Linked DNA regions of Kluyveromyces lactis. The protein of the gene in region 2 interacts with the protein of the main gene of each other region in a biochemical or structural test. Links are inferred from orthologs where the notes say so. Each region holds a gene or a part of one and is shown on either strand. Other genes may lie near its edges. The genes, in order: CWC2, PRP19 and CEF1.

Region 1 (2,898 bases), on a different chromosome or scaffold from region 2:
ATTGTTCGATTATGTCAAAAAGAACGACTTCACCGGAGAAAATTACATCTCAAAAGAAGCTATGTCGAAATACAATGTTGACAAATCTTCATACAAACCAATTATTATATGAAAGGACTAGACTTTTTTCCTTGAAATTTTAGAGTCATGCAATATGAATTAGAGTATTTAACGTAAATAGTTACAGTGTGCTAGCTAATAATGCATTTAGGATTCCAGGTCAATCCTGGAAATACCCAATGGTCTGACGATTCATGCGTTCTTGTTTGAGCCTGTGCCTTGTCTTCCATTTTTTCGGATGTCTGATTCAAAATTATCGTGTTTTTTGATGAAGGCCAAACCGTAGACTGACGAAGTTCAAGTAAGTGAACTCGACAAAACAACTTCGACATAATTTGAAAACCAGGCATTGATAGCTTTTATATTCATTTCAAATATTTGCAATGTCAGTAAAACAAATCTGAAATCCGCTAGATGTTGTTCATGACGGCAACCAGTAATCCAAAATATACCTAATCTGGAAAAGTCAATGTGTCACATGACTTCACGAAATCTAGTCTTCATCAGATGAATATTGGGTTACCAAAGGTAAAACCGACGATGGTTTTGAAACTGTTATATTTGCAGCAACGTTGGTATTGGTAATAGTCACTTTCCTTTGTTTCAACTTATCTAAAATAGTCTTATCTATGATTGCATTCTCCCTAATGCTGAATCTTTCACGACTGTTCGCCTGCGAATCTCTCACTTCGTTGATTTCTTCAACTTTACGTTTTTGATTTACAGTGCCTTCAGTACTAGCCACTAGTTGTTTTATAGCTTTCAAAGTCTCTTGGGTTTGTTCTTCCAATTCTCTCTTTCGTACAGCTGGATTAGGATCCTCGTTCGCCCATTTCACAAGCAACCCAGTTCCCTCCTTCCTTAGATCCCACTCTTTATCGGTTGGTATTAATAGAGTCTGATTGCCCATTGCTTCCTTAGTAAATTCGGAGTTACACTGTAATTTGAACTTGACAAAGGCACAATTCTTACTCTCCACGTATCGAACAGAATCCAATTCTCCAAGTTTCCCGAACTTGTATTTCACTCTATTCTCAATCTGATGTGGTTTCAAAGTTTTGTTGTTGAGTGCCCCTGTAATACCACCCACGTATAAGACACGGTTAGGTTTCTTGAAGGAACCTACCCCACCCATATCATCTCTATAATCAGCAAATTTCTCTCTTCCAAAACAATCTAACGCAGAGGAATGCAAAGCTAACCTCGCAAAATCATCTGGCTCTGGAATATGATGCAAGTACCGACAATTTTTGCCTAAACAGCACATTCCCTTAGCGAAATACAAACAGAAATGAATCCGACCCTCTTTATCACCTTTAGTGATACCAGAATCGTTCTCGGGATCAAGCGAGTACGGTGTGACGAACCTAGTGGACCCACTTTGCCCCTGTGACCATTTGTTGTACCATACGTTGAAAGCCAAACCCGTCTGAGGCGGTACTGATGAAGGTAGGTCAGACTCCTGTAACTGAACCCTTGCTGGTCGGTTCTTCCAATCCCCAGTCATAATATATTGATGACGATGACCTTAATATTTGGCAATTTGCCAAACCAAGTATTCTTTAATGACCTCGAACAAGCAAACAGTTTGAACCGTCCAATTTATGCAACAACAGATACCGTATTATAACGGTGAAAACTGTATCTTGTCGAGCACACATCTTCCATGTTCATCTCATCGCAGGCCAAAGTGTTTTCAATAAACTTCAAGGTTGGAACTTTTCTTTAGTGAAAACGATCATGATCAAAAACAAAATGGAAACGAAAAAAAGATAAGTCTCCCGGGGGCGAGTCGAACGCCCGATCTCCAGATTACAAATTGCTTTGTGTTTTCAAATTACAGTCTGGCGCCTTAAACCAACTTGGCTACCGAGAGAAGTTACTTGTGTGTTGTAATTTTCAATGATGCTATAACCAAACTTCAAGGTTTACTAAGACTACATTGCCTGACATTAAGAGGTATATGGAGTATTTAAACCTTTTAAAGTATTTAATTATACAAGTGAAGTGATCACAGGACAATAATGCCCTGCACCTGGAACAGCTAATTTCTCCTACAGAGTTTAATCATTGTACATATTGTTCGCCATTTAAAACTCCAAGTTTTGTATGAAATTAAAGGGACTCATCCAGAATAATGTTAGGCGATGGACATTTCTACAACTGCTATGTACCACCTCCGAAACAAGACGCTGGCACGATATTCTGAAAAGTTGTTTATGTGTCGCATGGATTAATTTATGTCGTCCCTACTGTAATTGATACTTTATTTCTTTTTCATGTTACTCGGTACTGGAAAATTTTCATTTTTTGTTAACAAAAAGAAGAGCGATGAGTATGAGAATTGAACTGTTGAATGAATCGATGAACCTATCTTGCTGATGTGATATTGATTCCTTTCTCAATCAATTGCTCGCTCTATTTGAACCAGGGGAACAGTGAAGAACTATACATAATAACAAAGATGGCCAAGGATAAGAGTGTATCAACAGAAGACAACTACGAAGCTAGACTTCCTGCCGTTCTACCATTTGCAAAACCTCTAGCATCAAAGAAACTGAACAAAAAGGTGTTAAAGACCGTCAAGAAGGCTTCCAAGGCTAAGAATGTCAAAAGAGGTGTCAAAGAGGTTGTCAAGGCTTTGAGAAAGGGTGATAAAGGGTTAGTAGTCATTGCTGGTGATATTTTCCCACAAGATGTTATTTCTCACTTGCCAGTTTTGTGTGAAGACCAATCTGTTCCATATATCTTTGTGCCCTCGAAGCAAGATCTAGGTTCTGCTGGTGCCACCAAGAGACCTACTTCTGTTGTATTCATCGTTCCAGGCTCTAACAAGAA
Region 2 (3,562 bases):
TAAATATGAGTCGGGGCTCATCTGGATAGCTCTTGGCTTGGCAGAATGGTGTCCCTTGAAGAATAACGATGATTTGGTCTTGGCAGGTCGGAAACACCATCATCATAACTCTTGTCTGAGACATTTATATGAGGAATATCCAATTCCTGATGAACTACTGAATCAATTACCTGATACCGAGTTTGATTTTGCCGCTATCTATGAGCGTTTAGTATTAGTGTTGTTTCATGCTCCAGCATTAGACGAAAAACCTGATAAATCTAATTATCACCTACTTAAGAGTGGGAATCTGAATCAACAATCGCAATTGTTCTTCAAGGTTTTCGCCAAGACGTTACCCGAACTGTATCAACCCATCACTGATGAAGGCGCTTTGCAAGGTTCCAAGAAGGCTACTTGGTTGTATTGGTGGATCAAATGTTGTGGTTGCAGAGTGTTGCATCGTCAGGATAGAGGAAGAGTATGGGATGTGTTGCTCGGATGGAGACCACGTCCTGAATCAATCAACTATTATCTCGAGTACAACCATAAATCATTTGAAAGCATTTATCCACCTGAATTGAAACTGAGTTCAGAGATTTTCCATAAGATTTGCAAATGTGAACATGATGAGTTTTGGTTCCCAGATTTGATGTCGTTAAGGCTCGGTCAAAATGGATTGAACCAAGATGAAGATGTCATTCGGGAATTGATACGAAGAAATAAATATGGGGACGATGGTCATACTACAGAAACACAAGAAAATGAGATTCCATATTCGCTCTTGAACCCTCATGCGGAGTTACTTTTCATATATGTTGCCATTATGCAACATAACGAATTTAAACTTTTAGAGTTTGAGGAAACAGAGATCACCGAGTTCTTAAATAATGTCCCACTGATATCAAAATTCGATGACTACAACTTCAAGAAGATGTACGAGGATGATGACATTAGTGGAAGTTCGACAGACACAGATGAATCCAACGCTTCAGGAATTAGACCAAGTTCTTCAAATCATATGATGATAGAGGTCGGTACTGACGATAAGACTGCACACTCGTTTGATGACATCTACCAGCAGGCTGGAGACATCTGGAGAAATTGGGCTTGGCAGGAAATGGAAGAATTCATAGAAGAATGATATATCAGCATTATATTTGTGTCTTTCTTGTATGTAGTATATCTTCTTTTCCTTTAATTAGCATATATATATATAAAAATACTATATACATCTCGAGCTCTATGAATATTGCAGATTGTATTCTAACCTGTTGGAGCGTTCTAACCAGCCAACTAAGATGTGAGTTGATTTGTTAAATAAAGTCATTTCTTCATCCAGTATTTTTTTGCATGTTCAAAAGAGAAACGAAAGCATTTTTATTTAACATTAGAAAACCAACATAAATGTTACATGAAAGATGAAGCACCGATATACATAATTAGATAATGGCTTCAAAAAGGAGAACCTTGGGGCTTACTTCTGGTGAAACTACTTAAGGACTGGCTAAATTGAGGTACGCTAATTATGTTCTGTGCAATTAGTGGGAAACCACCTATAAAAGCTGTTCTTTCACCTAATTCCAAATGTATATTTGAACAGCATCTAATCGAACAGTATATTGAACAGAAAGGAACAGATCCCATAACGGATGATCCATTACAAAAAACAGATTTGGTTGAAATCAATGCGACTCCACAGCAGATATCACTTTCAGAATCATTGAGCTCGTCTACTATCGCAAACAACTATAGCATTCCAAGTCTATTGTCAACTTTGCAGAAAGAATGGGATGCAGTAATGCTCGAGAATTTCGAATTAAGGAAGCAGTTAGACGTTTGTAAAAAGAATCTCAGTGATACACTTTACAGGTTTGACGCTGTTGCATCAGCGGCAGCAAAAGCTTTTGTAGAGCGAGATCAGCTGAAGCAAGAATTAGCAGAACTTACATCGGCAATAACTTCCTCGAATGTCGAAAATGATGGAACTATTGATAAACTCCAGAACTCAGACCAAATTCTATCAGACTTTACTTCAGAATTATCGACGAAATCTCAAGAGTACGTGACAAATTCCAAAAAGTCTAAGAAAAAGCTACAACACTTCTCCAACGTTTCAGTCGTTCAATCGACAGATTTCTCTGAAATTGATTTGATTAGCAGAAATCAGCATGTCAATCTTAATGAAAGATCTGTTGTTGTAAAAGATAATGACAAAGCTTTTGTGTTTGGACCTCAAGATTCTATTCTTGATGTGTCACAAGCCACAGAATATCTGGTGGAGTTTAAAGACGTTCTATACACCTTCACCCAGGGACTATTAGCAGCGTATGACCTTCATACAAAGTCTTTGTTGTATGAAGAAGTTTTGGAAGGAACTGATGGGCCAGTGATATTTATGGCTTATCCTCATCAAATATCGGATTCTTACTTCTTATTCGTAACTGAAAGAGGTACAATATATGGGTATGAAGTTACCAAAAAAGCACTGTTCACCATCTCACAAGTTAAATTGAACGATTCCGTTCAATTTGTGAATTATCATAAAGATGGAGCTCTTCTTGCTATTGGTAACCAAAACGAAGGTGTATATGTAATAAACCTATTGGCTGCTACAAAAGATCCGATTAAATTTTCAACTGGCTTCCCAGCTAAAAGAGTAGACTTTGGTTTGAACGGTTATTGGATGTTTGTCTTTGGTGATTCTGACTTGAATGTTTACGATTTAAGAAAGGATCCAGGCACCTTGGCAATGGAACCACTTTCTTTCGCTGAGAATATCATCAGTGTGGAGTTGGACGATACAGCTAAAGGTTTTTTCGTAAGCATGGGTAATTCACAAGTACAATGGTATGAGTATGTTAAGGGACAGTCATTTGTCGAAAAATCTACTCTTCCGATCGAAACAAATACAGCAGAATCCATGACATTGGTAAAAATAGATCAAGGATATTTCTTGAACGTCATCTCGGAGAATAAATGCATAACATATGAGTTGAAGTAGATATATGATACTTGTCCTAAATAAGGTATAAAAATTGTAATTATTAGAATAATCACTGATTTGATGGTGAGAGTCGTTAAATATATGATCCGATAATACGTCGAAAAATGAACATGTATGAACTCGCCCCCATATATGTACGTGATTTCATCGTAAAAAGAAGTGAAAATCATGCTCTTTAAATATCGAACTGTGTTTGTGTTTTTCTTGCAAGTGAATAAACGGGAAAGAAGATGGCATTACAGAATATGAAAAAGGGATTACCCCGAAGAACTCTTCTTTACCATCTGCTAGTCATGATTGTAGTTGGCTTTTTTGTTTTAGTAATTGTTCGATGTCTTCCTTCATACTTTTCGGTTTCGTCAACGTGGAATACCGTCCATGGACTCTCCCTGAGCGATCGATCAAAAACTTCTCAAAATTCCATCTAACGAACGTGAACCCAAACATTCGCGGTTGTTGATCTTTCAAGTACTTATATAGCGGAAGAGCATTGACACCATTCACTTTACACTTCTTCATTATTTTAAAACTGACACCGTAGTGCTCCTGGCAAAATTTTCCTATTTCTTCATCGGA
Region 3 (3,606 bases), on a different chromosome or scaffold from region 2:
AAAGCCTTTGAAGGCTTGTCTGCGACGATATCCCTCGCATCAGCTGGTCTTGAGGATGAAATGTGTTTGTTTGGCTTCACCTTCAATGTTTCTTGAGCGATGACAATGGTTGGTTCTTCTTCTTCAGCCACAGACTTTCTTCTGACCGCTGGAGCAGTTTCTAGTGTAGACCATCCTTCCTCATCGGTAGTAATTTTTGGTTTCAAATGCTTGAATTTTGGTTTAGCATGGTGGTGAGAAGATCTTCTTCTGAAGTGAGAAAATTCTTCTTCATGTGCTTCTTGGATTTCTTTCACTTTTTCAATTATAGCGTTGAATTCATCAACGTCGAAGTTTGGTTTAACTGGTTCGGTTGGTCTTAATTGTAAAAGTTCTTCTTCTGTGTACCTGATCATCGTGGCCCGGGAATTAGTATTTGCTTTGTGATGGCTTCGAAAGAGTTCCAGTAGAAATAAAGGGGAGAATTGTTATGTCCACACAGAGCAATTGCTAACTGTCTCATATTGTTCTTAAAGTTTGCAATTTCGTAAATCTTTTCATCTTTAAGTTCATAATTTGAAAATTTCATGATTATGGAAGGAAGACTCAAAAAGAAGGGTCCGGGTAATCATTGACTACGCTGGGCAAGTTTGATCTGTTCCGCAAGAGATTGTGTCTCTTCTTGCATAGTCTTATGGTCGTTCCTGTACTTCATGTAGTCAGTGTAGTATTGGTATGCTAAGCCTGACACTGTCGGATGTAGTTTTTCTTCAAAATCTTGTGAAAGTTGTGAAACAGCCTCTCTGTGAGACTTGACGGAATCCTCAAGCGCTGTTCGCAGTTCATGCACTTTTCGTTCCATGCCGAGCAGTTCGTGCTCCGTAGCCGGTGTTATAGTTTTTAAGCTAGTTTCCAACTTGGGATGTAAGACAGTGCTGGGCACTTCGGTGGTGGATGCAGAATTAATGATCTCTTCTAAGTAATTGTTTACTTCCGTGGAATTGTAAATGGGGTTACCATTCTCCTTTGCTGAGATTATACGATTCAATTCACGGTCAATTTCATTCTTTGGATCTACTATCGGACTGGGTACCTGTAATTCTGTTTTTATTTGGAATACTGTCGGTATGTATTCCATTATTTCCATTGCCTTGTTTTCCGATTGATGTTCCGTGGAAGATATTAAGGCTTCTAGGGGATATTTACCATTAACATACGAACTTTCAGTATTAAAAGCATCAGTGGATTCCATTTCTTCATCTAAATCATCCAATACAATTTCAAAATCGTTCTTAGGAGAAGGCAATGATTCAAATAAATGAAGTATAGATGTTGTTTTGTTTATCTTCCGTTTTGATCCTTTTAAAGTAGCAGGAGTAAGCTCAAGTTTAGGTTTCTTGTACTCATCAGTTAGTACAGAATCTAATTTTGTTACTGATGACGTTATTTGTTCGCCTTGCCTTCTCTTTTGTGGTATGGTTTTCTTTTCATCAGATTTCCTGTCAAGTAAACCTTTCCTTTCTACCAATTTCTCAAAACTCTTGAGTAGCTTCTCAGTCTGTTCATCCTCCTTTGAGGTATCGTATATACCCGGTAGTGGTTGCTGTTCATACGCAATATCCTCGTTGTAATCCATCTGCGAAGAATATTTCTTCCTGGGAGCTTTGATTTTACTATCAACGCCCGCTTGTTTCAACTCTCTACGCTTCTGTAAGAATGCAACACGCTTACTTTCTTCTAGCATACGTTCTCTTATCTTACGAGTAGCCTTTTTACCCTGAGTGTTTAATAGCCTGGCACGAGCTTCCGCCAACATTTCTCTCTCCTCGTCAAGTAGCTCATCTTTATCAGCCTTGGCTGGTAAGCTTTCGTTATTTGGGTTGATCTCACCGATCTGTACCCCTGTAGTTGCTGCAAGCTCTAAATCATCCTTATCAATCGCCAGGAGGATATTATATCTGTCGATACATGTTTGAGCAGGTCTACCCATCATTTCTCCGATGCTTTTCCATTGGTTTGGAATTCTTTTCGCTAAATCTAGTAGTTTATCATCTTCCTGCTGGCTGAATGGTTTGAAGTTTAGACTGGGATTCAAAAATTCATTCCAACGAGATTGACATTGCCTGGCATTCTTCTTCTGTAGAAGCGAAGCTACTTTACTCCATGCATGTGTTCCATATTTTTGAACAGCCGCCTTTAATATTTGATCCTCAAGGTTCGTCCAAATACCACCTTTGACATAAATCGGAACAGGAGCCATCGTACGTGGTTACCGCCTTTGATTAACTTCCCTTTGAACCAACGTTACAGCTTTAGCTGATACTATTATTAATTAGTTTCCTATGTTTCCACCAAGTATATGTCAATTTTATTTTCAATCCAATCCCAAAATTGGATTATCTAGATTTACACAGTGTTATAAAGAAATAAAACAATGTCAGCGAATAAAGAGGGAACTGTATCCGAACACATAGTTTACATATTGCTTTACTCGCAAGAGCATAGGTACCTTTTTCGTATTATTTCAGCAATGCTGGATACTGGTTTCTTTTGTGACTTCCTCCAGTCAGTACTTCGGTCTTTAAACTACCTATATTTTATTAGAATACAACAAACTCTGAAATTCTTTCAGAAAACACATGACAGATAATGAGAAAGTATATGTTGTTCTTCTCTTATTAAATAATGATCATCATTAACATTATTATGTTCTTTTTCAGCTATAGTTTTTCTAGTTCCCTTGTTTATATAATGATTGGCTCTCTATTACGCAATAAAAACTGGAAAAGGGTTTTTTGTTCGAAGACATTTTTTAAACTTAGAAATTGCATACTATATTGAAATCGCCAACACTATTGATGGTTCGACGATAAAACCCATCCAAAAGACTCCAACGATCCGTGTCAATGGGCTTTCTCTTCACCCCTAAGCACCAGAAATTGGTGAATCAGTGTTATCCACCAGGCCGAACTCCCGATAAGAAGCCAAAAGGGTCAGAGACTTCGTACTTGTTATATTATGTTAATTCGAGACGTCCAAAATTGGAAAAGGTCAGCAGTTACCTTGTGAAGAGGTCGACAACGGATTTGAACAGAAGACGTTCCGGTAATGTCTCTGTCACTCTAGAGCTACTGGCTAAAATCGTCGAGAATTGTAATGAAAACATGAATATTTTCATCAAAGATTTCATCCACATTATGACTTTAGTGTTGAACAACAACAATTTTAACAATGATCCAACTATTGTTGGTTTGATTGAAAGAGTTTTAGAAGCTATTTGTAACCATTTGGATGGGTCTCTTGTAAGTGGGGACTCTGAGTTTTTAGAATTGTTCAAAAACTTCGTAACCCTGTACTTCAAAGTTGCTAACACTAAACTTAATGACACAGATTTGGTTTTGAAAGGTTGCTTAGACTTTTCAAAGATCTCAAACTTGGGAAGCATTCACCAATGGTCTGCTACAGCCAAAAACTGCGTTTCTATTGCATTAACGAAGTTCCAAGAAAGGCATCCAATATATAGTGAGGCTACCATTGACTCTTCATTTTCTGAACCAGGTTCTCCAGCGTTGAAGAAGAAACTCACTAGAACACAAACTAAAGTGATGGGTCTAGATGATGTTTCGA

The links.
Region 1: the proteins of PRP19 (region 2) and CWC2 form a complex in vitro, tested with the Saccharomyces cerevisiae proteins (3 studies listed by BioGRID, with this or other methods). The link is inferred for Kluyveromyces lactis from reciprocal best matches to the Saccharomyces cerevisiae genes PRP19 and CWC2.
Region 3: the proteins of PRP19 (region 2) and CEF1 form a complex in vitro, tested with the Saccharomyces cerevisiae proteins (2 studies listed by BioGRID, with this or other methods). The link is inferred for Kluyveromyces lactis from reciprocal best matches to the Saccharomyces cerevisiae genes PRP19 and CEF1.

What each region holds. Positions count from the first base shown.
Region 1 is NC_006039.1:1,336,653-1,339,550, reverse strand, and holds CWC2 (active spliceosome conformation promoter CWC2), read right to left. Parts: upstream 1,568-2,898; coding exon 554-1,567; downstream 1-553. Other genes in the region: mRNA splicing protein PRP28, read left to right, coding at 1-112; snoRNA-binding protein NHP2, read left to right, coding at 2,525-2,898. UniProt on the Saccharomyces cerevisiae protein: Involved in the first step of pre-mRNA splicing. Required for cell growth and cell cycle control. Plays a role in the levels of the U1, U4, U5 and U6 snRNAs and the maintenance of the U4/U6 snRNA complex.
Region 2 is NC_006040.1:326,851-330,412, forward strand, and holds PRP19 (E3 ubiquitin-protein ligase PRP19), read left to right. Parts: upstream 1-1,507; coding exon 1,508-2,983; downstream 2,984-3,562. Other genes in the region: OCA5 (Oca5p), read left to right, coding at 1-1,123; KLLA0_D03905g (glutathione peroxidase), read right to left, coding at 3,278-3,562. UniProt on the Saccharomyces cerevisiae protein: Probable ubiquitin-protein ligase involved in pre-mRNA splicing.
Region 3 is NC_006039.1:634,744-638,349, forward strand, and holds CEF1 (Cef1p), read right to left. Parts: upstream 2,240-3,606; coding exon 608-2,239; downstream 1-607. Other genes in the region: CAF20 (Caf20p), read right to left, coding at 1-395; EFR3 (Efr3p), read left to right, coding at 2,886-3,606. UniProt on the Saccharomyces cerevisiae protein: Involved in pre-mRNA splicing and cell cycle control.